Linked DNA regions of Oryctolagus cuniculus. The protein of the gene in region 4 interacts with the protein of the main gene of each other region in a pairwise test. Links are inferred from orthologs where the notes say so. Each region holds a gene or a part of one and is shown on either strand. Other genes may lie near its edges.

The links.
Region 1: the proteins of GABARAPL1 (region 4) and ATG4A interact in binary tests that used the Homo sapiens proteins (3 or more experiments, as listed by UniProt). The two-hybrid records come from large-scale screens. The link is inferred for Oryctolagus cuniculus from reciprocal best matches to the Homo sapiens genes GABARAPL1 and ATG4A.
Region 2: the proteins of GABARAPL1 (region 4) and KXD1 interact in binary tests that used the Homo sapiens proteins (3 or more experiments, as listed by UniProt). The two-hybrid records come from large-scale screens. The link is inferred for Oryctolagus cuniculus from reciprocal best matches to the Homo sapiens genes GABARAPL1 and KXD1.
Region 3: the proteins of GABARAPL1 (region 4) and SCYL3 interact in binary tests that used the Homo sapiens proteins (3 or more experiments, as listed by UniProt). The two-hybrid records come from large-scale screens. The link is inferred for Oryctolagus cuniculus from reciprocal best matches to the Homo sapiens genes GABARAPL1 and SCYL3.
Region 5: the proteins of GABARAPL1 (region 4) and OPRK1 interact in binary tests that used the Homo sapiens proteins (3 or more experiments, as listed by UniProt). The link is inferred for Oryctolagus cuniculus from reciprocal best matches to the Homo sapiens genes GABARAPL1 and OPRK1.
Region 6: the proteins of GABARAPL1 (region 4) and RETREG3 interact in binary tests that used the Homo sapiens proteins (3 or more experiments, as listed by UniProt). The link is inferred for Oryctolagus cuniculus from reciprocal best matches to the Homo sapiens genes GABARAPL1 and RETREG3.
Region 7: the proteins of GABARAPL1 (region 4) and TAX1BP1 interact in binary tests that used the Homo sapiens proteins (3 or more experiments, as listed by UniProt). The link is inferred for Oryctolagus cuniculus from reciprocal best matches to the Homo sapiens genes GABARAPL1 and TAX1BP1.

The regions. Positions count from the first base shown.
Region 1 is NC_091453.1:85,192,474-85,196,846, reverse strand, and holds the start of ATG4A (cysteine protease ATG4A), read left to right. Parts: upstream 1-1,432; 5' UTR 1,433-1,529; coding exon 1,530-1,590; intron 1,591-4,373. UniProt on the Homo sapiens protein: Cysteine protease that plays a key role in autophagy by mediating both proteolytic activation and delipidation of ATG8 family proteins.
Region 2 is NC_091447.1:65,705,724-65,710,244, forward strand, and holds the start of KXD1 (kxDL motif-containing protein 1), read left to right. Parts: upstream 1-1,625; 5' UTR 1,626-1,755; intron 1,756-3,473; 5' UTR 3,474-3,497; coding exon 3,498-3,598; intron 3,599-4,321; coding exon 4,322-4,474; intron 4,475-4,521.
Region 3 is NC_091438.1:27,729,013-27,732,802, forward strand, and holds part of SCYL3 (protein-associating with the carboxyl-terminal domain of ezrin), read right to left. Parts: intron 2,131-3,790; coding exon 2,019-2,130; intron 1-2,018. UniProt on the Homo sapiens protein: May play a role in regulating cell adhesion/migration complexes in migrating cells.
Region 4 is NC_091440.1:106,922,971-106,926,760, forward strand, and holds the end of GABARAPL1 (gamma-aminobutyric acid receptor-associated protein-like 1), read left to right. Parts: intron 1-804; coding exon 805-923; intron 924-2,012; coding exon 2,013-2,078; 3' UTR 2,079-3,298; downstream 3,299-3,790. UniProt on the Homo sapiens protein: Ubiquitin-like modifier that increases cell-surface expression of kappa-type opioid receptor through facilitating anterograde intracellular trafficking of the receptor. Involved in formation of autophagosomal vacuoles.
Region 5 is NC_091437.1:78,042,594-78,046,383, reverse strand, and holds part of OPRK1 (kappa-type opioid receptor), read left to right. Parts: intron 1-2,809; coding exon 2,810-3,342; 3' UTR 3,343-3,790. UniProt on the Homo sapiens protein: G-protein coupled opioid receptor that functions as a receptor for endogenous alpha-neoendorphins and dynorphins, but has low affinity for beta-endorphins.
Region 6 is NC_091448.1:20,299,412-20,302,842, forward strand, and holds the end of RETREG3 (reticulophagy regulator 3), read left to right. Parts: intron 1-198; coding exon 199-331; intron 332-670; coding exon 671-1,125; 3' UTR 1,126-2,795; downstream 2,796-3,431. UniProt on the Homo sapiens protein: Endoplasmic reticulum (ER)-anchored autophagy regulator which exists in an inactive state under basal conditions but is activated following cellular stress.
Region 7 is NC_091447.1:19,405,539-19,409,930, forward strand, and holds the end of TAX1BP1 (tax1-binding protein 1), read left to right. Parts: intron 1-2,170; coding exon 2,171-2,253; intron 2,254-3,153; coding exon 3,154-3,355; 3' UTR 3,356-3,756; downstream 3,757-4,392.

The DNA.
Region 1 (4,373 bases), on a different chromosome or scaffold from region 4:
CAGGAAGCTTTTTGGAAGTGGAACAGCCAAAACTCAAACCAGTTCTCCAATATGGGATGCCAGCATCACAAACATCAGCTTAACCTGCTGTGCCACAACAACGGCCTGAGACTTTTTCTAAGTTGTTTCTAGCATGTCTGTAATTGTTTGTTGAGGTAATTTTAAGATGGATGATTTAAAATCCTTGTTGAATGTTTCCAGTATCTATATCATATCAGTGTTGGTATCTGTTGAAAGTCTTTTCTCATTCAAATCGAAATTTTTTTGGTTCTTAATATCATGAATGAGTGATTTTCACTGTGTCCTGGACTTTTTCTTTAAACTTTAAAAAAATTATTTGAAAGGCAGAGAGACAGAGGAAGATTTTAACATTTGTTGGTTTAATCTTTAAATGACTGCAATAGCTGGGGCTGGGCCAGACAGAAGCCAAGAACTAGGAATTAAATCTGGGTCTCCCATGTATTTGGCAGGGACCCAAATACTTGAACCCTGAAGCCCCCTAGGGTACACATTAGCAGGAAAGTAGAATCAGAAGTGGAGCCAGGACTTGAACCCAGACACTCTGATATGGAATGCAGACATTCCCAGTGGCATCTTAACCACTGTGCCAAATGCCCACCCCTGGATCCTAGACATTTTATGCTAAACATCTCTGGATCTTATTTCAATCTTCTGTTAGCAAACCTACTTTGAAACCACACTGGTGAGATAGTGAGAACTTGACTTCATTACTGCCAGGTGAGTATAGAGTCAAGGTTTCCCACTCACCATCCATTTATAACTGGGGTATGGATACCATTATTACTGGGTAAGGATTAAATTTCAGGATCTTCAGTAGGATTCCATTGATACCATCTTGGCTTGTAGAGATAGCTACGCTACCATCACATGCTTGAGGATGAAAATCCTAGATTCCCACTCAGATCATTCTGAAACCACTTATAGGAGAATAGGAAAGAGATGTGTGAATATTTAAAGCCAGTTGAAGGTGGAAGTCTAGGCTTCCCATTTGGTCTTTGCTGATAGGAGTGGGAGTGAGAGTGCAATTTTTCCTGTGATTTTTAGCTGGATTATTAAAGTTACTGTATAAACATCATCTGCCTTTATAGGTTGCCTCTTTCTGGTTCTTTTGGATAGAGATAGATGACTTTTTGAGGGACTTTTTGTTGTTGTGTTGCAGACTTATTGGCATTGTTGAGTTGCTGGCTTCTCCATCACCAGGTTCAGTATTTTTTTAAAGATTTATTTATTTATTTGAAAGTCAGAGTTACACAGAGAAAGAGAGGCAGAGAGGCAGAGAGAGAGAAAGAGAGAGAGAGAGAGAGAGGTCTTCCATCCACTGGTTCACTCCCCAATCAGCTATAATGGCTGGAGCTGTGCCGATCCGAAGCCAGGAGCCAGTAACTTCTTCCAGCTCTCCCACGTAGGTGCAGGGACCCAAGGACCTGGGCCATCTTCCAACATCTTCCCAGGCCATAGCAGAGAGCTGGATCGGAAGTGGAGCAGCCGGGTCTCGAACCGGCACCCATATGGGATGCCAGCACTGGAGACAGCAGCTTTACCTGCTACACCACAGCAACAGTGCCACAGGTTCAGTATTTATTACTCAAAAATAGAACTCAGGGAACTCACTGCCATGTTGTTACATGCCACGTCTTGAGTTTCCTTGCCACTAGACTGCCTTCTCTACCTGTGAGAGATTTATGATTTATTTATTTATTTATAAAAACTAGTGTTTTAGCTCTACTTAGTGGGAGGAATAGAGAAAAATGCATCTGCTCCACCTGTTCTTGGAACAAGGATGTATAACTGGTTACTCCAAGAAAACACGGATATTGTGTTGGTTTTAGCCATTCTCCCAGTAAAAAAATCTAGTTCAGAGCAAGTAAAATCACCTTGACCCCTACCTCCAGTCCCTTGACAACCTCTGGGGACCATTCCATTTTCTAGCTTTATGAATTTAACTACTTTACATACCTCATACACACAGCAAATGCAAATATGTATCACACTCTCTTTATCCATTCATCTATCAATGGATATTTGGGTCACTTTCATATCTTGACTATGGAGAATAGTGTTGCTATGAACAGAACTATGCAAATATGTCCTTGAGACCCTGTTTTGAATCTTTTTGGATGCCTATCCAGAAGTGAGATTATTATGTTAGTTCTACTTTTAATCATTGAGTAGCATCTACACTACATATACTATATGTTTTCCATAGTGCTTGAATCCTTTTACAGTCCCACCAACAATACACAGGGTTTTACATTTCTTCACATCCATGCTAACATTTGGTATTTTCTATAGCCATTCTAATGGATGTGAGGTGATATCTAATTGTGGTTTTGATTTGCATTTTTCTGGAGATCAGTGATACTGAGGGATTTTATGTGCTCATGACCATTTGTGAATCATCTTTAGACAACTGCCTGTTTAGTTCTTTGCTCATTTTTAATCAAGTTATTTGATTTTTTAATATTTGAGTTATAGGAGTACTTTATATATTCTGGGTGTTAACCCCTTACAGATATTTGATTTGCAAATATTTTCTCCCATTTTTGTAGGTAGTCTTTTGACTCTTTTGATTGCATTCTTTGATGCACAAAGTTTTTTTATGTTTAATGTAGTCCCATTTATCTTTTTTTGCTCTTATTGTCTGTGCTTTTGGGGTTATATCCAAAAAATCATTACCTAGTCCAGTGTCACTAAGCCTTTCCTATACATTTTATTCCAGTCATTTTGTAGTTTTAGGTCTTATGTTTAGGTCTTTAATCCATTTTGAGCTAGTTTTTGTATATATTGTATAATAAGGGTTTAACTTCATAATTTAGGATGTGGATATACAGTGTTCCAGCAGCGTTTATTGAAGAGATTGTCCTTTTTCCATTGAGTGATCCTGGTACTGCTGTGGAAGATCATTTTATCATATTGCTAGAGTTCATATTAGTTCTGTATATTCTATTGCATTGGTTGACTTGTCTGCTTTTGTACTGGTACCATATTGTTTTGATCACTGTAGCTTTGTGATATGTTTTGAACTCAGGATATTTGAATCCTTTGACTGTGTTCTCCTTCAAAGCTGTTTTACCTATTCAGGATCTCTTGAGATTCCATATGCACTTTAGAATCTATCTTTCTATTTCTGCAAAAAATATCATTGAGATTTTGATAGGCATTGCATTGAATCTGTATATTGCTTTGCATAGTATGGACATCTTAATAATATCAAGTCTTCCAATCTCTGAGGATAAGATATTTTTCCATTTATTTTTGTATTCTTGTCAGCAGTATTTTATAGTTTCCCATTGGTATACTTCAATATACTCAATAAAAAATTTGGTATAAATAAAAACATTTTGCTAAACCTTGCTTTTCCAATAAAATCAGGGTACAGATCTATAGATGTATTTTCCATTGGTGCTTCCAATTCTTTGCTGCTTGGCAAAATTACTGAATATGCCAAAGGTTTTACTTATTTAGGCAATGACGCCTTAGCTGGCTCCTTTATTCAATTGAATGGGACCAGGGTCTGCACCCCATCTTTCTCTTTATTCACTATCATTATTCCTTAAGAATAAGGTTTTTTAGTGACTCTGAACCTGAGGCCCTAGCAGGACTGCTTAAGGGTGGCAGTATACACCCTTGTCTTCTGTTTTTACGTTTTATTTATTTGAAAGTTAAAAATAGAGATAGAGACAGACATAAGAGACACAGAGAGAGAGACCTCCCCAAGCACCTGCATCAGCTGGGGTCTGGACCAGGCCAAAGCCAGGAGCTGGGACTTCCATCCAGGTCTCCCACATGGGTGGCAGGGATCCAGGAAGTTGAGTCATCACCTGATGCCTCCCAAGATGTGCATTATCAGGAAGCTAGAATTGGAAGCACAACCAGTACTTGAACCTAGGTACTGTGATATGGGATGTAGGCATCTCAAGTGATGTCTTAACTCCTATGCCCAATGTCCCTCCTTCTTCTTACTTATTTTTTAAAACTTTTATTTAATAAATATAAATTTCAGAAGTATAACTTTCCTCCTGACTTCTTAAACAGGGTATATGAAGTATAATAATTTGATCTTTTTGACTAAGTATCATTTAGTATTAGGACTATCAATTGTTATGTTTTCCTATTAGTATAGTGAAATAGGACTTATTGAAATGTTTTTTAAAGAAGACTCATTTTTTTTTAAAAAAAACTTTATTTTATTTATTTGGAAGTCAGAGTTATAGACACACAGAGAGAGAGACAAAGAGATCTTCCATCTGCTGCTTCCCCCCTCCCCCCAAATATCCTCAATGGTTGGGCAGGGCTAGGCCACAGCTAGGAGCCAGGAGCTTCTTCCAGGTCTCCCACATGGGTGTCAGGGG
Region 2 (4,521 bases), on a different chromosome or scaffold from region 4:
ACGACTCCCGAGAGCTTCCTGTATGGCCAGGGAAACGGAGGCATGGCGTAGCTTGTTCAAGGTCGCGGCCATGGAGGGCAACGTGGGCCAGGTCCCCTCCCTGGCCAGGGTGGCCAGTGGCTGAGCCCACCCGGGGACACGCGTGGAGCAAACGCAACCAAAACAGGGCGGAGGAGGGGGCTGCGAGTGCCCTCCCATGGGTCTCTCCTGCTGGACGGGGCGGCCCTGCGCTCACCACCCTCTCCCGTAAACACACAGGACACCAGGACATTTCGTCTCCAGTCCTCGGGGCCCCCAAGTCCCTCTGTCCCTACCCGTCTGGGGCTCCCAGAAACGTGCCCCGGCCTCTGGCAGGGCCCCCTGCGGCAGCCTGCACACGGCCATGGATCGAGCAGCTTCCCCCAGCAGGGCCCCTCTCTCAGCTCTTGGCCGCCGCGGGCTCACCGAGCCCCCCCCCCCTTACAACGGTCAAGCCCACACCGTGTGGTTTCCCATCATCGTTTCTTACAGCCCCAAGTCACGTCCACTGCCTGCAAAACTCCTACTCCAACCTCAAAACCCCAGCTAGATGGGGTTTGCCTCCCCGCAACCTCCCTTGCTCCCAAAACGAGCGCTCACAACGGCTCAGGTTCCTGCGCACGGAGGGTCCTTCCTATTCTTTACAAACACAGAAGCCCCGCGAGGCTGGGGGCGTCTGCCTCTGACTCTATCTCCTTTTTCCTTCCAGGCCTAAGCAGGACCTAAGTGGTCCCTGGGGTCCCAGAACACGGGCCACACCTGGCGGGAGGGAAAGTCTTTAAAAACTGTCAAACTCCGTAAGAATCCTGGTCCCCGGGGCTTTTCAGCAGAGGCGGCAGTAACAACGTAGCCAAGACGCCCGCTGGGAGCCTGGATCCCAGATCTGAGAGCCGGGGTCTGCGACCCAGCTTCTTCCCACCGGTGCGCACGAGCCAGGAGCTCCATCCGGGTCTCCCACGCAGGTGCAGGGGCCCAGCACCTGAGCCATCCTCCGCTGCTTTCCCAGGCCATAGCAGGGAGCTGGACCGGAAGTGGAGCAGCCGGGACTCGAACCGGGGCCCATAGGGAATGCCAGCGCTGCAGGAGGCGGCTTTACCCGCTATGCCACAGCGCCGGCCCCCCAAAAATTCTAAAAATTATTTTAAAAAATCCTTGTTGGGGGGCCGCGTTGTGGCGCCCGCACCCCAGGCGGCGGCGCTGGCTTCAGTCTCTGCAGCTCGGGACCGGTCCAGCCCCGGGCTGAGGGCCTGGGGGCAGCATGCCGGGCCCTGCACCTGCGCGGGAGATCCGGATGGAGCTCCCGGCTGCGGCCTGGCCCAGTGTCCATCTGGGGAGTGACCAGCGGATGGAAAACCTCTCTCTCTCTGCCTCTGAAGTACATAAAAAAAATCTTAGGAAAAAGTTCTTAAATGCTAAGATCATTCAAAGCGACGGGAGCCTGGGAGCTCTCACGGACTGGGGGAGACTGCGGACATCAGCCCTGGACATACCTTCCGACCTAACCCCTTCCGGCGGCTCAGCCGCGCGGACTGCGCAGGCGCACGAGAGCCCGTTTGATTGGACGTGGGCTGTGACGCAGGGCGAGCGAGCCCGCCTCTTCCTGCCGAGCCCCCACCACGCACGCGCGCACGCACGTCGGCCCCAGAGTGCGCCGCCGCCGCGAGCGCCCGTGCGTGGTGACGTCGCGGCGGCGCGGACGCCATCCCGGAAGCGCGAGCGAGGCTGCCAGATGTGCAGGTGCCGCCGCCGCCTCCGGGGCTGAGCTTGGGGCGGGGCGGGGAGCGGGACGCCGGGGCGGCGGGGAGCCGGGCCGGGTCGGGCGCCGTCCCCGGGCTGCCCGGGGTGGGGCGCGCCGTGCGGGGCGCGGGCGTTGGGGCCACCAGCGTTCCGACGGTGCGGTGTGACCTGGAGTTGGGCGTTCACCTGCCGGTGCCTCAGTTTCCCCGCTTCGTGTGGGCGGAGCCTGCGGGTGTAGACCCAAGCCCCGCCCCACCCGGGCTGTCTTTACCGGGGCGCGGAGTGGGGAGTTCAGCCGACGGTGTGGGCGACCCTCGCAGGGGTGGCTGGGAATTCAGTGCGACGTTGTGCAGTTAGCTCCGCCTCTTGCAGTCACGTGGGATGCCCTCAACAGGCTGGACCCCGTGGGGAAACACCTGCTCCAAGCTCCGCCCACAATCCACCTTGCCTTCACCGCCCCCCATTCCCATTTCCTGGATGAGAAAACTGATCCCTCCCTCCCCCACTTGAAACCGGGGCCCTTGCTGCGTGAGTTCCCTTTGGGATGTGCAGCCCGGAAGGCTTCCTGAGAGAGGCAGCCAGCGACAGGCCCGGGGTTGGAGCCTCTGCCCTGATCCCCGGACAGCGCGTGGGTGGCCCTGCTCTGCAGACAGTCCTAGCGCGTGTCCAGGGGCGGCGAGCCACCTGCCGGGGTCAGGGCGCGAGCAGTCCTGGCTCCCGTGATGTTTTGGATAAAAAGAATTCCTGGCTAACAGTGGCAAATAAGGCGATTTCATGGGGAAAAAATTGTTTTTATCAGCTGTCGTAGGAAGCAGCTGTCCCCCCGCCGTGGGCGGGGCCCGTCAGACGCACGTGCACCTGGGTGCTGCCCAGGGCCGCGGCCGCTCGGACCCTGGCCTGGGCTCGGGGGCTGTGTGACCGCCGAGCGCAGTGAGCGTGTGCCACATACAGTAGGCGCTCAGTAGGTGGATGCTGTGGGCTCCGAGTCTCGGCCAGCTGTAAATGGGGCTGTCTGTCATCTCGCGCGTGGGCCTGGCGGCCAAGCTATGCCAAGGTTCCAGATTTTTCCTGACCCTCCCACCCCCGCCCGCCGCTGCTGGGCCTCGCATGGTCTGGGAGGCCCAGCCCACTGGGGTGGGGTCCTTCGTGTGCCCGTGAGAGCGGGCACTGTCCAGGACGTCTGGGTCGTGGGGCTCCCAGTGCCTGGGACTTGCTAACAACAGGCGAACCCCGTCAGAGCCGGGTCTGCAGGGGCCGGCCCAGAGACCCCGGCGGGAGGGAGAAGGCGGCGGCGGCTTCCCTCCCCAAATGGCCACAATGGTCAGGGCTGGGCCAGGAGCCAGGAGCTCCATCCGGGTCTCCCACGCAGGTGCAGGGCCTAAGCACTTGGGTCATCTTCCGCCGCTTTCCCAGGCCACAGAGAGAGCTGGATTGGAAGTGGAGCAGCCGGGACTCGAACTGGCACCCACATGGGATGCGGTTGTCACACGTGGAGCCCTAACCCCTTGCTCCACGCCGCAGACCCCGCCCCCCCGTGGGGGCGACCCGATGAGGCAGCCTTGCCGCACGTGTTCTGTGGGGGCAGCAGGTGCAGAGGCGGGGGTGGGGGCTGGGAGGCAGCAGCAGCAGCTCCGTGCAGGCGCCCGGGACCCCGGGAAGCCGTACCGATCCAGAGCGCGCCGGAGCCCCCTGCAGTCTGTGTTTCCCGCCTGCTCCAGGCCGCGGAGGAGGAGGAGGAGGACATGGACGCCCCCGACTCGGCCTCCGGGGTCTTCTGCAGCCGCGTCCTGAGCATGGTGAACGCCGAGGACGTCAACGCCATCATCCTGGCCCAGAAGAACATGTGAGCCCCGGCTGGGCGGGGCGGGGCGGGGCGGGGCGGGAGCCCACTCCGGCCGCGCTCCTGATGCAAACGCAGGGAGCTGGATCTGCCTGCTGGCTCCCCTGGCCTCCTCCCTGGCCGGGCTCCTGGGCGGGGAGGCGGGGGGACGGCGGGACCAGAGGCACAGAGCTGTGTGGCGAGCCCCCCGGGGTCTCTTGGGGAGGGCGGCGGGACATACCTGCCTCCCACAGGCGGGCTCGGAGCCTGCCACAGCCTCACCCCGATTCCAGCTGCCTTGCTGGGGAGAGGAGGACCGGTGCATCCTGGGAGTGATTTATTTTCGTTCATTTGAAAGGCAGAGTGACAGCCAGAGGGGGAGAGGAGGTCTTCCCAGGGTGGTGGAGACCCATGCACGTGGGCCATCTTCCCCTGCCTTCCCAGGCCACAGCGGAGAGCTGGATGGGAAGTGGAGCAGCTGGGACTCGACCCGGCGCCCACACGGGATGCTGGCACTGCAGGCGGCCGCTTTACCCGCCACGCCACAGCGCTGGCTGCAGACTTGACCCTGGGGAAGCTCCCAGACGGGGCGTAGACAAAACAGGACACAGACCCCCACGGCGCCACATGCCAGGGCTGGGCCAGAGCACCCTGAAGCTGCCAGGGCCCCAGGGGCAGGCAGCGCCGTCACGGGACACCCTTACTGGGGCGCTGAGGACTGAATAGGAGCCTTCTCTCTGGCGCCAGGCTGGACCGCTTCGAGAAGACCAACGAGATGCTGCTCAACTTTAACCAGCTGTCCAGCGGCCGCCTGCAGCAGATGGGCGAGCGCTTCCTGCAGCACACGCGCGCGCTGGGCGAGATGAAGCGCGACCTGGACAGCATCTTCCGCCGCATCAGGTGGGCGCCCAGCCCTGCGCCAGCATCCTGGCTTTTTTTATTTATTT
Region 3 (3,790 bases), on a different chromosome or scaffold from region 4:
AGACCCAGAAGAGGCTCCTGGCTCCTACTTCAGATGGGCCCAGCTCTGGCTGCTGTAGCCATTTGGGGAGTGAACCAGTGGACAGAAGACCTTTCTCTCTGTCTCTCCCTCTCTCACTCTACCTCTCAAATAAATAAAATCTTTAATAAAAAAAGAGTATTAAATAGTTCTGTGAAAAAGACACCAGCTTAAACACACACATGCTAACATGCTTTATAAATAGCTGTCATAATCTCCCAAATTTTTGGCTATAATAGTATGCTATCAAACGAAATATCTTGAGAGAAGTGACATTCCTATGACAAAATGATTGCTATTCTCTTTTCTCCTTTGGTGAAGTAAAAACTATTAAAGAGGGTTGGGAAAGTAGATTTCTGTACAAGTCACAGGAATCTTTCTCCTGCTCTAAGTTACCCAGCCACTCCTTCAGACAGGCAGGGGGCAGTACGGGAGGAGAGGCCAGGTTCCAGCCAGCAGAGTCCCAAAGGCTCTGGGCTGCTTTGCTCGGAGAGAGCACTGCCCACACCCTACCACGAGACTGCGCGCTTCAGCACACAGGCTGTGCAACCTCGGAAGCACAGCTCCAGCTGTGAAAACACACAGATGCCTTAACTTAAACCTAAGCAACGGGGACACCGGCTGTGTCATCTCTGACAGAGGTTCTCACCTCACGTGTGAGAACGGAATTTGAGGAACACTGGTTGGTGTGTTTTCAGCTTTCTTCTCCTTGCTCTACTTAAAATACAGTGATTTGGGTTTTTTTTTTAAGATTTATTTATTTATTTGAAAGTCAATTACACACAGAGAGAAGCAGAGGCAGAGAGAGAGGTCTTCCACATGCTGGTTCACTGCCCAATTGGCCACAACAGCCAGAGCTAAGCCGATCCAAAGCCAGGAGTCTGGAGCTTCTTCTGGGTCTCCCACGCGGGTGCAGGGGCTCAAGCACTTGGGCCATCTTCTACTGCCTTCCCAGGCCACAGCAAAGAGCTGGATAGGAAGTGGGGCTGCCAGGACTCAAACTGGAGCCCATATGGGATACCGGCACTGCAGGCGGTGGCTTTACCCGCTACATCACAGCACCAGCCCCAAAATACAGTTCTTAATAAAGGACTCAAGCTACTTGCAGTGATGAGAAAATCTACAAGTATTCACCATGATGAGAAATCAAGAGAAAAAATTAAGTCATCCAAAAGGAAAACAAAATACCTTGGTTAAAAGACAATAAACATACAATTTTTGTCAATTAAAATAATGTTTAAAATGCCTAAGGGGGAAGGATCTAAACAGTTTCTTTGACACATAAATGCCAGAATAACTCCAGTAATTACAAATATGACTGATTTAATAATATGCCATCCCACCAGTACTATCCTAAGCGTTCCCCTGTCAGGAATGATGTTTACTCTTGACTCTGATTTTTCCAACTGCAAACACACAAGAATATTTAGTTTCAAAACTAATATAAGGTTGGCTTTGTTAGTAAAAATTGAACATGAAACTGACCTGTGCAGAAGCTCTGTAGTCATGGAAATAAAAAATAAGGTACATGTAATTACAACTAACCTTGGACAGAGGTTCAAAAACATCTCTGAATCCGGAAAAGTATTAAGTTATATTGTGCCTCTCCCTCTAAATCAACTTTGCTTTTCCATCATGTATTACTAAACAAAGAAAAAAAATGCTCTGCCTGAGAAAAAATAAGCATTCCCTCTCCCACCAAGAGAAAAATCCAACAGTAACAAATTCACACTAATACAAGAGCACCAGAAAGGAGAGGCGTGCTCACTGACTCTCAGTTAAGTCACGTCAGACACAACCTGGCTTCTCCACAATCAGAAGCCCTAAGGAAATGGGCTACGATTTCTAAACCAGAGCCTTCAGGACAACCAAGGATTTGTAAAACTCACTATCTGTGACAGGAGCTGGACAGTCAGTCAGTGCTCCATCTACTTCCCTGTGCACTTGGTCAGTCTCCCCTAATGATAAAAACAGGACAGCACCACACTCGGTGCTCTCACCTGAAGAAGTCATGGGAGAGTAAGGTGCAGAGCGCTGGCCGGCACTGTGGAATGGGATTCAGCAAAGTTGAGTGCAAGGTCTGTTGAAAGCTGGAGAGAACATCCGCTGAAACTGAAATCCAGAGCTACAGTTAGTTTCCAATGCCTTCTCCTCTTTTCAGGGCCTCTACAGCTGGAGACTGACGAGGGCAAAAACCAACCTGTAAAAGCCCAAACAAACAAAGCCCCTGCTGTTGCTGAACAGCTTCCTGCTTGCCTTATGCCCAGTCCCTGACAGGTGCAGAGTGCTGTCCTGCCAACATGTCCGACCTCGCCCCTTCCACGTCCTGACTTCCTCACTGCTGAACTCGGCTCAGGCCAAACAAAGGCTTACTCTGTGGCAGATTTAAGGGCCTTTCTCACCCAGGGTTCCTCAGCCACAGAAGATAAAAGTTATTTAAATGACTCTTGTTTTAAATTCTACCAAGTATGGTACATACTTGCCACCATTACAGATGCATAGTAGTTAGCTTATTACATATGTTTACCTTAGAGTTTAATTCTCAAGTACTTAAGCTGGGAAAATTTACAGCTAACAGCTGAATGAACACTCCATAAGCCTGTTAGAAAGAAACCGCACTGCAACAGCACAAAGCTTCACAATGGGAGACACAGGCCAGGAATGGGCATTATGGGACACGTGCCTCAGTAAACTCAACAGCAGGTCCCAGTAAACTTGAGGGGTCCCCAGACAGTGAAGCAGGCTGCTGAGCGTGCAATTAGAGAACACAGAAAACAAGTCTTTTGTAGTCTAGGTTTCAAAGGATGATGGAAGAAAAAAATAATGAGTAAATTACAGCAAGAGGAAAAAAAATCAAAAGGCTTTGAAAAAAGTCTTGATTTAGAAATTAATAAAAGATGTTGAACCTTAATCTGTTATTCAGGGGACCGGCGCTGTGGTGCAGCAGGTGAAGCTGCCACCTGCAGTGCCGTCATCCCATACGGGCACCAGTTTGAGTCCCTGCTGCTCCACTTCCGATCCAGCTCTCTGCTATGGCCTGGGAAAGCAGTAGAAGATGGCCCAAGTCCTTGAGCCCCTGCAGCTGCGTGGGAGACATAGAAGGAGCTCCTGGCTTCAGATTGGCCCAGCTTCAGTCATTGCGGCCAACTGGGAAGTGAACCAGCAGATGGAAGACCTCTTTCTCTCTCTCTGCCTCTCCTCTCTCTGTGTAACTCTGACTTTCAAATAAAATAAATTTTAAAAAAAATCTGTTATTCAGATCATTATATACAAGTCATTAACGGTGTTAGGACATTTGGCAAATAATTTGGGTGTTCCCCAAAGACCCATGAGTTAAGCCTTGATGTTCAGAGTCTTATGTTAATGAATTAAGGACAGAACTTAATTGTATTATGGTGTCTGAAGCTGAGGCCTTGAAAAGTGATTAGACTGGATTATGCTGTTAGGGCAGAGCCCCTATGATCAAACTGTGGCTATAAAGAGACACAGATGTGAAGGCAGAGTTGCTCCCTCTCTGCTTCCTGGCTCACCGTGTGATCCTCCCTTCACAAGTGTTCTGCCATCCATTGCCTTATCAGACACCCAGAATAATGAGGCCACCTGACCTTGGATTGTGAACCTCTAAAACTGTAAATTCAAATCAACTTTCTTCCTCCTTAAGTAGCTCCTCTCAGGTATTTTAGTCGTAGCTAGGAAAACCTGGCTAATACAAATGCCATGTCTTTATGTGTTGGCAGGCTTAATAAAGAATATAGTCTTTAGACCATAATAT
Region 4 (3,790 bases):
AACATTGGAGGAAAAGATCAGATGTCCATTATTTAAACCACCTATTAAATCAGCTTTGCCATTGTGATGTCAGTTTGTTTGAGGAGAAGTACCAGCCTAGTTTCCTGGGAGGATCACAGTTTAGAGATTATCGGTGAGATGTCTCATCTCCTCAGGCCATGTGGTTTTGTAATAGGTTTTGTATTGAGTTTGGAATTATAAAGAACATATTTGATCTTCACCTTGATCCTTAATGGAATACCTACTGTGTTCAGGAGACACTGAAAGATTATAGATCTCCTTGCTCCAGAGTTAATAGATTTGAATATTGACTTTCTAGAACATTTTCAGAATTCTCAGGAGATGTAACACACTACTTCACACTTGGTGCCCCCACACTGAATTGAGTGACCACCCTAAGACTCCTGGGGTCTGGTAGACCTCTTTCCATCTCTGGTTTGTCTTGGGGGAAGTGGGGGTGGAAGGGTGTTACAGGTCAGCTTTAGACAATGATGGGATTGATTGGTCTGGCTATACATAGAACTCCTGTGCATCAGGTGAATCTTGGGGTGGATCTGCTAACAGTGGGTCTGAAATTAATGGGGGAAAGAAGGAGTAAACTCCGCTGTGTTGCGCTTGGGACTCTGCGGGCCTCTCGTGTTTCACTTTTTATTCCCAAGGCTGCAGGAGGATGGTTGGCTCTGCTCAGATGGTCTCCAAAGCTGATACTTACTCTAGAGGGTACAGGTGCAGGAGAATTTACCCTTCCTTTAATCCCTTGTTTTCTGCTCTTCGTGCCTTCATTTTCCTTCTTCCTTCATCCAGTTGGCCAGTTCTACTTCTTAATCCGGAAGAGGATCCACCTGAGACCTGAGGACGCCTTATTCTTCTTTGTCAACAACACCATCCCTCCCACTAGTGCCACCATGGGCCAGCTGTATGAGGTAATGCTCCCGGTCGCAGCAGTTCCGAGCAGTCTGAGTTGTTGATAACACTGGGAAAGTGGGGCAGAAGGTGTTACTTACCAGGATCCTCTTACAGATGGCAGTGTCAGGCTCTGGGTGATCAGACAGCACTTGTCCTGCAGGGAAGCAGTCCTCAGGACTAGATTTATTCCCGCTGACAAATCTCTCTTCAGTCTCGCCTGACTACTGTTGTAATGTCAGTGGTCTTTATTGAAATGACTGGAAGTGGTTGTTGATAACAAAGATTCCAAACATGGATTCACTGCAGTTCCTCTTTTTCTTGTTGGTGACAAATAGTGTGAAAGCAAACTATGCATTCAGATCTCAGTTCATTATTTTATTGCTATTTATTTGAGAAAACAAATGGTGTTAATTTTAGCCCCTTCTAGCTCTGAAACTAACCTTAAGCTCTAAACCGAAATTTTGGTTTAAGACAACCATATAGAGCCACACAAGGGTAGCTCCTTATTTCTGAGTTCAAAGCTAAGAACATGAAACAGATTCACCATTACCTGGGCACAGTGAATTGTAATTGAAATTGAAATGCAAATTAAGGCCAAGTCTTCATTTTGATTCATTTATCTTAAGAGACAAACTCAGGGAGAATAACTTACCTGACTTGGTTTAATTGGTAATCTAATGAGTAAGCTATAGTAAAGCACTTTCTCACGTTGGAAATTGAACGTAACATTATAACTGTTGTACTCCTTAAAGGATTTCACACGAGTGCTGCCTTCTCATGGCGCCTCAGTAATGACACAAACTCTAATGGGACTTCTATTCCATAGTGTATCTTCTCCATTAATATATATTCCTGTACATGTCTTGTGGTATGTTTCCCTTGCTAATATGAACTTTAAAAAATATTTTAAATTATTTATTTGAAAGGCAGAGTGACAGAATTAGAATGAGATCTTCTACCCACAGGTTTAACCACTTCTGCTTACTCTTTTAATAGAGGCTAGTGATGTTCTTCATACTTATTCAATAAGGCTGTGTGTGGCTCAGAAGCCTAGGAATAATGAAGATGAATAGGTGTCCTGAGCTGTCTTCTTTTCTCTTCCCCAGGACAACCATGAGGAAGACTATTTTCTGTATGTGGCCTACAGCGATGAGAGTGTCTATGGGAAATGAGTGTTGGAAGCCCAGCAGATGGGAGCACCTGGACTTGGGGGTAGGGGAGGGGTATGTGTGGGACTTGGGGGAAGAGCAGGAGGGCTCCCACCATGGAGGAGACAGAATGTGAAGACATCGAGAAATATTACACCACACACACTGTCATCATATTTTCACATGCTCAGTTGATATTTTTTGCTGCTTCCTCGGCCCAGGGAGAAAGCATGTCAGAACAGAGCTGTTGGATTGGCTGTGAGAAAGGATTGAGGATGGCATAACTTTACAGCTTTGCTGAGAATACTTGTGCAATTTCATAGGAGGGTCAGCGTATGGACCAGGTGGGGCCAGAGACAGTTGCGGTCCAACAGTGACTCCCTCCTCACCATTCTAGTTTTGACATTCACATGAGACCAAAAGGGGAGGAAGACAGGAATGTTTTATGACTTGTGGTGGTGGGCCGTGCCTTCTGGGGACCAAGCCCATTGTAACTGAAGCACTGTGGCCTTCCACGACTCCTCCCTTCCATCCAAGTTGTATTGTCACACACAAACATCTCAGTGCCACCCCAGAGGTGGCAGTAGACACAGGCACAGAAATTGAGATGGCACTCTCTTACCTTGAAAATAGGGGTTAGTCATGACGGTGGTTATGATTACGAGGTAGTTAGGCCAGCACTGAACTGGAACGGACTTGAGTGTTGAGCCTCTCTAACCTGCTGTCTCTCTGGTGCCCCTTATCCCACACCTTTCTTGGAACTCAATGGGCCCCAGGCTAAAACTACTCCTTTAGCATATCCTTTAGCGTTTCCCGTGTATAGGGACAGAGGTGTCTTAGGTATGGCAGAGGCAGGTGGATCTCCAACTCCCACTCATCCAGACTCCTTCCTCTCCTGCTGCTGTCCCTGCAGTCTCACACGCACAGGACGGTGCTGACGGTGGCCAGCTGCTTCCCTCCTTTGGTTTCCACGCTGCAGCTGCTTGTCACAAGAGTTCGGAGGGCTGACTTTCAGTCACTATCGGGGATTTTACTGATCTGTTTTCCCTGCGGGGGTTACGTGGGGTGGGGTGGGGCCCAGGAATTGCACTCAGACGTGACATTTCATTTCATCTCCGCTACTAGAAAGAGTCCTTCCTGTTGGGAAATCTGTGTGTCAGTTCTGTCAGCTGCAGGTTCTTGTATAACAAAGTCAATGCTGTCAGGCCTCAGAAATAAAGTAATTTGCTCACCTTCAGAATTTACATGGAGTTCATAAGTGTTGCTTTTATTCGGTGTACGTTAGAGTAGATGGCACGCGGACTCTGAGCAGAACGCTGGGAGCGAGGTGAGCGAGTGCTCACCTCCATGATCAGATGTACACGTGTCGTCTCAGCTCGTTGCTGACCTGGAGTTGCCCTCGAGGGTGAGTGGTAGAGTGGGGCAGTGTGCCCGGTGTGCTGGTGATGTGTGCTTTGGCAGAGCTGAAGGTGGAACTGCCTGCATCAGAGCATGGCGGGCGGGTCGGGGGTGTGCGGATTACAAATGAAGATGTCTGGGCCTTGTCCCAAACGTATGTGACTCAATCACAGCGTAGGCGTCTGGAGTTTTAATAGCACCTCCTGTGACTCTGCTGCACACTGAAGTTTGCCAGCCACTGCCTTTGCAGCAGGTTTTGCTGCTTATTCCAACCATACCTTATTCCCCCCATCCCCCACTACATCTTGGTCAGATGTGAAGCCACCATCTCCTCTAGC
Region 5 (3,790 bases), on a different chromosome or scaffold from region 4:
TATTCATGATACTTGTGAGAACAGAAAATTGAATATGTGCGGTGAGAACTTTTCAGGTAACAGTAAAAGGGCTGGCACTAAAATCATAGCTTATTTTTCATGATGCATGTTTTTCTTTTCTTTGTTTTTGACAGATAGAGTTAGACAGTGAGAGAGAGAGAGACAGAGAGAAAGGTCTTGCTTCCATTGGTTCACCCCCGCAAATGGCCGCTATGGCCAACGCCACGCTGATCTGAAGCCAGGAGCCAGGTGCTTCCTCCTGGTCTCCCATGCTTGTGCAGGGGCCCAAGCACTTGGGCCATCCTCCACTGCCCTCCCGGGCCACAGCAGAGAGCTGCCCTGGAAGAGGAGCAACCAACACTAGAACCTGGTGCCCATATGGGATGCTGGTGCTACAGGCGAAGTAACCAAGTGAGCCACGGCGCCGGCCGATGCATGGTTTTTATAGACAAATTTTTAGAGCAGCTTTAGGTTCATGGCAAAGTTGGATAGAAAGTATAGAGTTTCCCTATAGCTCCCACTCTCACACATGCACAGTCTCCATGACTATCAATGTCTCCCACCAGAGTAGGACATTTATTAAAACTGATGAATGACAATGACACATTATCACCCAGAGTTTATACTGGGGTTCACTTTTGGGGCTATACATTCTGTGGGTTTGTACACATGTATGATGACACGTATCCTTTTCCTAAAAAAATCCCCTTCCTTCCTTCCTTCCTTCCTTCCTTCCTTCCTTCCTTCCTTCCTTCCTTCCTTCCTTCCTTCCTTCCTTCCTTCTTTTCTTTCTCTTTCTTTCTTTCTTTCTTTCTTTCTTTCTTTCTTTCTTTCTTTCTTTCTTTCTTTCTTTCTTTCTTTCTTTCTTTCTTATTAATTAATTCATTTGAAACACAAAGAGGAAGAGACAGGGAACTCCTGTATATTGGTTCATTCCCCCAAATGCCTGCAGCAGCTGTGACTGGATCAGGCTAAAGCCAGGAGCCAGAACCTCAATCCTGCTCTCATATAGGTGACAAGTACCCAACTGTCTGAGCCATTACCTGCTGCCTCCCAGGATATGCATTAGCAGAAGATAGAATCAGGATCAGTCAAGACTCAACCCAGGCACTCCAATATGTGATACTGGTGTTCCAAGCAGCATTTTAACCTTAGACCAAATCTCCACCTCTTGTATCCTTTGTTTTTTAATGTGGCATGATCTGTTTCTTTTGAAACTATTAAATGAGTTTCCAGCAGAGCCACAGCAGATAATAAGCTATAATATTTGGTAACTTTCAAGAAATGCCCAACTTTCTCTATCAGATAAACATTTTCAAATATGATTAATCACATGCAGGATTTGTTTCCTCATACCTACGAAAAATGAAAACAAACTGCATGGAACTCTTTAGAGACCTAGGTGTTTGTGTGTAACAACTCCAATTGGAGAGGAGATGCTGCATATCCACTGTGAGCATGAGGGGAATGGGCTGAAGAATAAAGATGATCGTCCTAGGACAAATGAAGAGCTGATTTTTACATTTCATATTTCACTGGTAGACTTAATCACTACATTCCTTCTAATCATTGTCAGAAAATGACATCTTAGAGTAAATGGATTTCAATTATGCTTTTGAAAGAGGAAATGAAGATGTGGCTTTTCCAGGAAGGAGTCGTTATAGATAAATGTGTGCAGATGCAATGGGAGAAAAGCTCCACCAGTTTGGGAAGAAGATTAATTTGTGCAGCAAAACAGAGAGGAAAATGGGAGGAAATTAAAGTGGACTTATTTTCCATTGCAAATATTACACTCAAGTGTTGCTTATCACTATTTCATCCATGAGGAAGGACCAGGACAAGGAGAGTTCTGCCTGCTCTGTAATTCTTGATTTCTCAGAAACAGGAGAAAGTGTGGACTGCTTTGTGCTTGGGAACAGTGAGCTTCTATGCAAATAGTTTAAAAGGTACTGATCCTGAGACCCTGCTCTTTCTAATATGAAGGTTCCTACAAAATAATACTACCCAGCAAACAGAAGAAGAGCAAATGAAACTATTTCCTAAGTATCATATAAAGGTATTTATTTTATCTGAATTATGTATTAATGTTACCATGATGAAAAATATGTCTGATTTACTCCGAAATCTTACAATGATGATTCTTTTTTTCCAGTTCTCTGTCATGCTTCATTTTCCCTCGTCTCCTCCTTTACTTTTTTCTCCTCCTTCTCTTCCAGAAGTGTTACCCATATTTCAGTAATGCCCTTCATTACAGTACATGCAGTTGGTTCCATTAAATCACAACACTTGGGTCATATTTAGACAAATTTCATATCAGTTTTATTTACCTGAATAAAACAATTAATGTTTGCTAGACAAGTTGGCTGCTTTTAAACTCAATGGCAAGGTTTAAATATTTAGTCATTTATTACAAATAAACATTAGCTTTTGTTGCCAGTGCATTAGGTCTTAGAGAACTGTTAATAAATGGAAACATTTTATAAGTAAGTGTCATGCAGTAAATTAACAATTTAGCTCTTTTGAAAGCCATCAGTAGATAAGCAATGTTGCTGTATAATCTTATTTATTCTACAGCATCCTGTGTATTAATGTAAGTGGCGATTTGCTAGCTTCAGTGTTCTGTGCACACAGATAGCCTGGGTAATACAATATGGATATGCAGTTGTTTCTAATTTGATGATGTCCATCAGGTAATATCATCTCATTCTTATTGGACCTTTGCAATCGCAGTGATTAAAATTCACATTCAGAACACTCTGCATCTATGGGAACAGCAATAACAAACTTTGTTGGTTTTGTTTTCCTGTAGATGTGGATGTTATCGAATGCTCCTTGCAGTTCCCGGATGATGACTACTCTTGGTGGGACCTGTTCATGAAGATCTGCGTCTTTGTCTTTGCATTTGTGATCCCCGTGCTCATCATCATCATCTGCTACACCCTCATGATCCTGCGCCTGAAGAGTGTACGGCTCCTTTCTGGCTCCCGAGAGAAGGATCGTAACCTGCGCCGGATCACCAGGCTTGTTCTGGTGGTGGTGGCAGTCTTTATCATCTGCTGGACCCCTATCCACATTTTCATCCTTGTGGAGGCACTGGGCAGCACCTCCCACAGTACGGCTGCTCTCTCCAGCTACTACTTCTGCATTGCATTGGGCTACACCAACAGCAGCCTCAATCCCATCCTCTATGCCTTTCTTGATGAAAACTTCAAGCGGTGCTTCAGAGACTTCTGCTTCCCCATTAAGATGAGGATGGAACGACAGAGCACCAGCAGAGTCAGAAACACCATCCAGGATCCTGCTTACATGAGGGATGTTGATGGGATGAACAAACCAGTATGACTAGTCGTGGAGATGTCTTCTTACCTTTCTTCTGGCAGAGAAGAGTTCAATGATTTGGGTGTCACCCAGATAACTACAGCAGTCTGAGATGGAGAGGAAGAATTTTTTAACAAACTTTTAGAAACCTCAAGGTCTAAGTTGTAAGCTGCAGGCTGCATTAAGAACCCAGGTCATTGCGGGCATCAAGCAGTAGAGAGGAAGTTCAAAAGTCTGGGAAGCAAATGCGCTCTTCTCTAGGGCAGGGAAGCAAGACCGACTCCAAGTTTCTTTGGTGAACCATGAAATGGGTCTTTACATTCTGGGTACCTAGATTTAGTTCAGCACTCATCTGCTGTGGCCTTCCTATGCAATGTAGTTACAAAGCTCTGTTTAAGAAGAAAGGAAGAGAAAAAAAGTAAAGTGTTGTTTCAGAACTTAGTGAACATCCAATCCAGATATCTGATATTGA
Region 6 (3,431 bases), on a different chromosome or scaffold from region 4:
TGATGAGTAAGAGGGTTTCCTTTGAGGAAGCAGCCTAAAAGAGGTCAAGATTTATACTAAAGCATCCATCTGTCCCTGGTTGGTCTGTGTCCTAGGGTAGCACTTGGGAACAGCGCACTCGTTCAGCTGTCCCTGCGGGCTGCTCCCGGTCCTAACGGCATCCTCTCCTCAGGCTTGTTGGTCTCTTCTTTTCCTAAGCTCGATGATTCTGCTGTTGCCAGGGAATTGGCCATCACAGACTCTGAGCACTCGGATGCCGAGGTCTCCTGTACAGACAATGGCACGTTCAATCTTTCAAGGGGCCAAACACCTCTAACAGAAGGCTCTGAAGGTGAGGGGAACCTTTGCCTTGGGCTGATAAAGGCTCTGACTGCTGCCTCGAAGCTTCCCTGGACAGAGGAGCCCAGTGCTACTGCTTCTCCCGTGTTCTGATCGCGTGGCCGAGCAGCCGGAGGGCTGCAGGTGCAGCCAGCATGGCATCACCCCTGCTTCTGTAGCCCCCAGTCCCTAAGTGGAGGGGGAAGCCAAGCAGCCCCGTGGATTTTGCTTTACTCTGAAATCCACAGTGGGAAAAGCAGTCGTGTGGGGTTTTTTGTTTTGTTTTTGTAGCGCTGGGGCACGGAGAGGGCCAGGTGGCTGCCATGTCTCAAACTCCCCTGTATTCTCCCAGAGCTGGATGGTCACAGTGATCCAGAGGAATCCTTTGCCAGAGACCTTCCCGACTTCCCTTCCATTAATGTGGACCCTGCTGGCCTGGATGACGAGGATGACACGAGCATTGGGATGCCCAGCTTGATGTACCGGTCCCCGCCAGGGGCCGAGGAGCCCCAGGCGCCCCCCGCCAGCCGGGATGAGGCTGCACTGCCAGAGCTCCTGCTTGGTGCCCTGCCTGTAGGATCCAACCTCACGAGCAGCCTTGCCAGTCTGGTCTCCCAGGGCATGATCCAGCTGGCCTTGTCAGGGGCCTCCCAGCCAGGTCCGTCTGGCCCTCCTCCCCGGAGGCCAAGAGGCTTCCTCCAGGCCCCCACTTCAGACCTGGACACTGATGCTGAGGGAGATGACTTTGAACTTCTGGACCAGTCGGAGCTGAATCAGATGGACCCTGCGAGTTCCAGGAGCCACTGAGACAGGACTCCCTTTGGAGGTCATATGGTTTAGTTTTCTTCTCCCCATCCCGCATAAGGTGACGGGGCAAAGGAATAACCCAGGTCCCATCCCCTGAATTATATTTGTATGCTGGGTGGCCTGGCTGATGCTCAGAGGCCTTCTCAGAGCAGACACTCACTCCCCTGTTAGCAGCTGGACGCCTGTTTGTGTGCTCAGTCACTGAAGAGTGTGCTCCCCCCAGGCAGGCGTCTGTCCATCACGATGGTACTTTGGGGAACAAGGTAGTCAGGGACATTGGTTCCCCTCTGAGGTGGTGCTGCTGTTTGCTTTCAGGAGTGGGTCCTCTGGGACCCTCGTGACAGAAGATCGCATCCCTTCCTTCCTCCCCTCATTGCTCCCCAGAGTCAGGCAGCAGCCAGAGAAGAGGCAGAGTTGTTGTCATCTTTCGTTGAAACACAGCTTGTTTTTTCAAGCCAGCTTGTCCTTTGGTTCTGCTGTGCAGACCTGCCCCCACTTCCCCCAGCCGTCCCCATTTCTGGATGCCTCAGTCCCAGGGCCTAATTCACTTGTGAAATTTAAGAAATGTGAATAGGATGTGGGGCTGGGCCTCCCCTACACCACGTAGGGCCACGGCGGTCAGCTGGCCAGGAGGGTTCGGGAGTGCCTCTGTATCCCGAGGGCTCGCTGAATCTTCTGGAGCTACATGGTTGTCTTGGTGCTGCTGACCCCTGGCTCTGTTTGACCATCAGCCTGAGCAGTGAGCAAAGCAATACCACACCCATTTCTTAGGGTCCTCCTCTGGAGAAGCAATAATTCCCCGGGGGACGGCGGAGTAGCACTTTACACACGGCTCCGTGGGTTCGCCCGGGAGCTACCAGCTCTTCGGCACCAGCTGTCCGTACTCTTTATTCTGCTCTTTTCCTTTATTTGTTGCTGCTTCCTCACTTGGCAGGGCCTCCTTTAAGGATGGCCGTTAGCAAGTCTGTGTCTGTAATCAGCAGAGACCCCTCTGAGGGGCATCCGTTCCGCAGCCCCTAGTGAAATCATGTGAAACAAAACCCAAAAACGATCATCGGTTGTAAACCTGTGCCAGTCTACAGCCTCTGCCTCCTCGGTCAGAGCTCAAGCCAAACTCTTCCATCCTCTTCCCCTCTGCATCAACCCTCTGCTGATCCTCAGGGACCACCCCGCCCCCCGCACTCCCATCCTTGAGTGAAGGATCTTGGACAGAGCTCATTTCCACGTGCTGCAGGTGGGGGTGTGCAAACGTTTGCCCTTGGTTAGTGGATGAGGTAGAGGCCAGGGCGTGCAAGTAGTTAACGGTGAGAAGGGAAGAGCTAGGTGCCTGCTTCTGGTCACTTACCTTCGTGTGAAGATTAAGGGGAGTGGCATCTCCCCACTCCGGGGTCCTCAGACAGGCTTTGGACACCTTCGCTCTTCCCAGGGCCTGGATGTCTTATAGGTGAGTGCTGGTGTGCAAAAAACGGGAAGTGGGGTGTTGTGTGTTTGCATGAGTGTGTGTAGCTTCAGGCCTTGGGAGTTAGCAAGAGGGAGGGAAGGAAAGAGAGCAAAACCTTTGGAAGGTGTTTCTTGTACCTGGGGATCCTGCTCTGAATCTCCTTAGTCCTCCACTGTGAACTGGGGGTGGGTGGGTGCTGGGGAATAAATCTTATATGAGAACAATCTTCTAAGAGACTGATGCTGAATGATGTCCCCCTGTGACAGCCTAAGCGGAAGCTCAGGTATGAGGGACCCACCTGCTCATCCCCCTTTTCCCTTGTGGTGGCCAGGCCAGGGCAGTCACAAGTATGAGGCCACGCCCTCCTTGGAGAGCGCAGACCTGAGAGTGGCTGGCATTCAGCCTGCAGCGCCATCCCCCCTTTGGGGGGAGACCAGCGCGGGTTTCACAGGCGCCATGCCCCTCCTCCGGATTCTGTGAGCGTCAAGGGCAGCTGCTCTTTGGCGTTCCGATGACCTCAGAAACTAGAAATGCTTATTTCGGGCTCTGTCCTACTGGCCACTGTGGTCAGGAGTGGAAAGCACCTGCCAGGTGCTGCCGTGGGATTGGGCCGACGAGAAACTTCTGCAAGCTTTGCGGCTTAGCCAGGCCCTTTCCACCCTGCCTTTCCTGGGCGCTCAAACCACGGCAGGTGTCGCGCGCCCCCTGTGGGCGGAGCGGGGTTACGGCGCTGACGCTTTCAATGGAGTTTTCCCAACCACCCTGCCACAAATACCAATTGTTCTTGTTTGACAAACGATGAAACCAACTGGCGGAAGAGCACTACCCCGCGGGACCGGGACACGTCCAGCCCAGCACGGGACTT
Region 7 (4,392 bases), on a different chromosome or scaffold from region 4:
CAGTGATACCTTAGTCCCTCCCCGACACCCACCCACTCACCCAAAATCAAACCCATCTTGATTTGTTGTTGGATTACTTGGTATACTCTTTTGGTATCTCTGCCCATGACCCAGATGACTACTGCATTAATAGCAGCTCTGGGGTGAGCCCAAGCACCCACCATCATCAGGGTTTTCATCACTGCCTGCTGTTCTCATGTGCTGTTACTTCATGACATGAAAGTAGCTAATAACTGCCCTGAGACGAAAATAAAGGGCCAATTTTGATGATGTGGCTGCCTTTGGCATTAAATGAGATTGTTTGGCTGTGGATGTAACTTGTACAGATTTCTTAAGAATTGCCCACCAGAATGCAGGTACAGGAATCTAAATCCCTGTTTTCTGATTAAAACTCAGATCCCCAGCTTTTTAGAAGTCTCACTTGACGACCTGTTAGTCAGATATTCAATTTTGAGCTTTATTCTACAACAGGGTTTTGAAGCTTGTGGTTTGGTGCATTGCTTTGCTTTAACATGTGTTTTATTTGTGATTGTGTAGTAGAGGTATCCTGTCAAAGGGACTTTATTGCAAATTATAGCTGAGAATAATTGGAATAACTGCAACCTTAAGATGTCTGTGGAAGCCGTCACTCAGTGTATGGAATGATAAAAACTCAGTTACTTACACATAGAGGTTTGAAAAGTATTCCACTCAGTACTTTTTTTTTTTTTGACAGGCAGAGTGGACAGTGAGAGAGAGACAGAGAGAAAGGTCTTCCTTTGCCGTTGGTTCACCCTCCAATGGCCGCCGCAGCCAGCGCGCTGCGGCCGGCGCACCGCGCTGATCCGATGGCAGGAGCCAGGAGCTAGGTGCTTTTCCTGGTCTCCCATGGGGTGCATGGCCCAAGCACCTGGGCCATCCTCCACTGCACTCCCTGGCCACAGCAGAGGGCTGGCCTGGAAGAGGGGCAACCGGGACAGAATCCGGCGCCCCGACCGGGACTAGAACCCGCTAGGCGGAGGATTAGCCTAGTGAGCCGCGGCGCCGGCTTCCACTCAGTACTTTTTATAGTCATCTGTCCTTATCCAAGTTTTTGCTTTTCATAGTGTTTTTTTTTTTTTTTTTTTTTTTTTTTTGAAAGAATTAGAGAGGTAGAGACAGAGAGGTCTTTTTTTTAAAAAAATTTTTTTTCATTTGACAGGTAGAGTTATAGACAGTGAGAGAGAGAGAGAAAGGTCTTCCTTCTGTTGGTTCACCTCCCAAATGGCCGCTACGGCTGGTGCTGCACCAATCCGAAGCCAGGAGCCAGGAGCTTCCTCCTGGTCTCCTATGCGGGTGCAGGGGCTCAAGCACTTGGGCCATCCTCCACTGCCTTCCCGGGCCACAGCAGAGAGCTGGACTGGAAGAGGAGCAATCGGGACTAGAACCCAGAGCCCACATGGGATGCCGGCGCCTCAGGTGGAGGATTAACCAAGTGAGCCATGGAGCTGGCCCCTGCTTTCCATAGTTTCATAACTCTGTTAGCCAAAGCTTGAAAATATTGAAGATTCCAGAAATGATTCCTACGTTTTAGTTTGCATGCTGTTCTGAAGAGTGTGATGAAACCTTATCCATCATATCCACACTGTGTGTGACCCATGATTGTTGCACTAATGCAGTGCTTGTGTTCAAGGAACCCTTATTTACTGAGTAACAGCCCTAAAGAGCCACAGGAGTGATTCTGGCAGTCCAGACATGCAAAAGAGAAGCTGCCAAGTGCTTCCTTGAGTGAAAAGGTGAAGGTACCGAAAGATACTTTGACACCTCTAGAACACTAGACATTTACGTACACTTCTTTATAGTACATTAAAATCATTCCACTTTATTATTAGGTATGGTTAATCTCTTTCTCTGCCTGTTTTATAAATTTTATCCTTGGTATGTATGTATAAGAAAAATCATAGCAGTTTTCCAAAAATCTTGGAATATATCCCCTGTGAATAAGGTGGGGGGCTCCTGTATTTCATATGGTCAGAGTCTTGGTTTGGCCTAGAGAAATACTCTGTAAAACTCATTTTCAAACATGTCTGTGTGAAAGTTTAACTAAATAATAGAAAGTATCTTCAATTGTAATCTTTCTTAAGGGACTGAATTAAGGAATCTGTGTTTGGTTTCACTTTTCTCAAAAGTTGCAAAATTGTTCTTTGCCTAGGAAGATGAGAATACGCCCAGTGCTCCTGATCCTTCAAGTCAGCATGTACGTGGGCACGCAGCGGGCTTTTGTTTTGATTCCAGGTAATTTTTTTTTTCCTTTGTAGAATTTAAATAGTTTATATAGGCTAATGGCTGTCAAAGTGTGGTTCTTGGTCCTTTTTTTTTAAAGATTGATTTATTTATTTTGAAAGTCAGAGTTACAGAGAGGGGGAGAGGCAGAGACAGAGAGAGAAGTCTTCCATCCACTGGTTCTCTCCCCAGTTGTCCACAAAGGCCAGAGCTGCACCAGTCTGAAGCCAGGAGCATCTTCTGGGTCCCCCACATGGGTGCAGGGGCCGAAGCACTTAGGCCATCTTCTATTGCTTTCCCAGGCCATAGCAGAGAGCTGGATGGGAAGTAGAGCAGCTGGGTCTTGAACCGGCTCCCATATGGGATGCTGGGACTCTAGGCAGCAGCTTTGCCCGCTGTGCCACAGTGCCAGCCCCCTGGTCCTTGTTACAAGCTGCAAATCCTTAGGGCCCAATCAGCTGAACCAGAAGGTCCGGATAAAGTGCCCAGAAGTGTGTGTAGCAGGCCTCTGGCTGATTCCGATGCCTGCAGCCATTGCAGAGTGTGTACCATGGAAACTTGCAGCTGTCAGGCCATGGGGCGCTGCAGGGGAACTGTGAGCTGCAGGCCTCCTCTCAGCTTCACAAGGAGTGCTGCTTTTAGTTAGGGACTGAGTTTTCGGCACTAAGACTTGTTTCACATAATGCAGTTGGATTTGGGGTTTTTTCCATGAAGAAAAGGATTTTGTTAATGTAGTAAAACTGAATTTAGAGGTTTTACAAATGGGGAGCACAATTATCTATTGCAAGCAGGGTGGTTTCTGGAATAGATACTTTCATGGTAGATTGTTTAGTATGAATATGTGCTAACAATAAGTATAACCTTGTCATATATTACTGTTATATATAATTTTCATTTTCCTTTTTCTTCAAGCTTTGATGTTCATAAGAAGTGCCCCCTCTGTGAATTAATGTTCCCTCCCAACTATGATCAGAGCAAATTTGAAGAGCATGTTGAAAGTCACTGGAAAGTGTGCCCAATGTGCAGCGAGCAGTTCCCTCCCGACTACGACCAGCAGGGGTTTGAAAGGCATGTTCAGACTCATTTTGATCAGAATGTTCTAAATTTTGATTAGAAACATTTTATTATGAGTTAACAGTTTAGAAATTGAAAAAAAAATCACCTCAAGTAATAGACCACTAGGGAGACCACATACGCTCTGCTGTACTTTTCTGACCAAGAGCTACTTTAAGTTTGGTGATATTAGTGTCAGGGTCAATCTTTGGCTTATCAATAAACTTAATTTTAACCTCTGTTAATCTTACCTGCTTTAAGAAAACAAGTTCTTGTGTGTTTATATATTTATTCCCATTTGCAAAATTGTATGAGTAAAGAATACAGGAATTCTTTTAATGTTATTGCACTGAAAAATGTTACTAGTAAGCTAGATTATTTAGAAGAATATTTACAAGTTTGTCGGCCTTGTTGATTGAGCATGACTACTGAATATTATGTAATAAAGAGCATTGATCATAAGTTCTGTGAAGTAATTCTTTGTAATGCAGCCCATGAAATGACAGTCTTAAGTGGAAGTGCATGTGGAATGAGATGACATACTTGCAGATATCCTTTTATATATGAAATGTTGGTTTTAGGAATTACTGGAAAGCGTATTTTACTAATTTTATGACAATCATCTGAATGATTTTTAAATCATCTTGAAGTTGTATTTTAACAGGAAAATGGAACAAGATGTGTAAGTATAATTGTTTTTATTGTTATTAATATAACATTGGTGTTGGCATAAAATAACATTGGTGTTGGCATAAAATCACATAATGTGTATCAGTATCTTTTTCACATTTTCCTGGTGAGAATATAAATAACATTTAGTAAATGATTAAAAATACAGTGGGTAAACTCAGCCTGTTTCTCTAGTGACCTGTTTGCTGTACAGCACTGAGAGGTTTGCTGTTCCACACGCCGAGTTGTTAGTTAGTAATACACACTGTGCTGACCTGAAGTACCCTTTCAGTATGACAGTACTGTCATCAGTGAAATGAGACTATTCATCCTAGTAACGTAGAATTTATTTTAAAAAATAGTTTTTGGCTCCAAGCTTTTGATAGGTAATTTGTTATTGATAAAAAAGTAAGGCAGTTTAATACACAC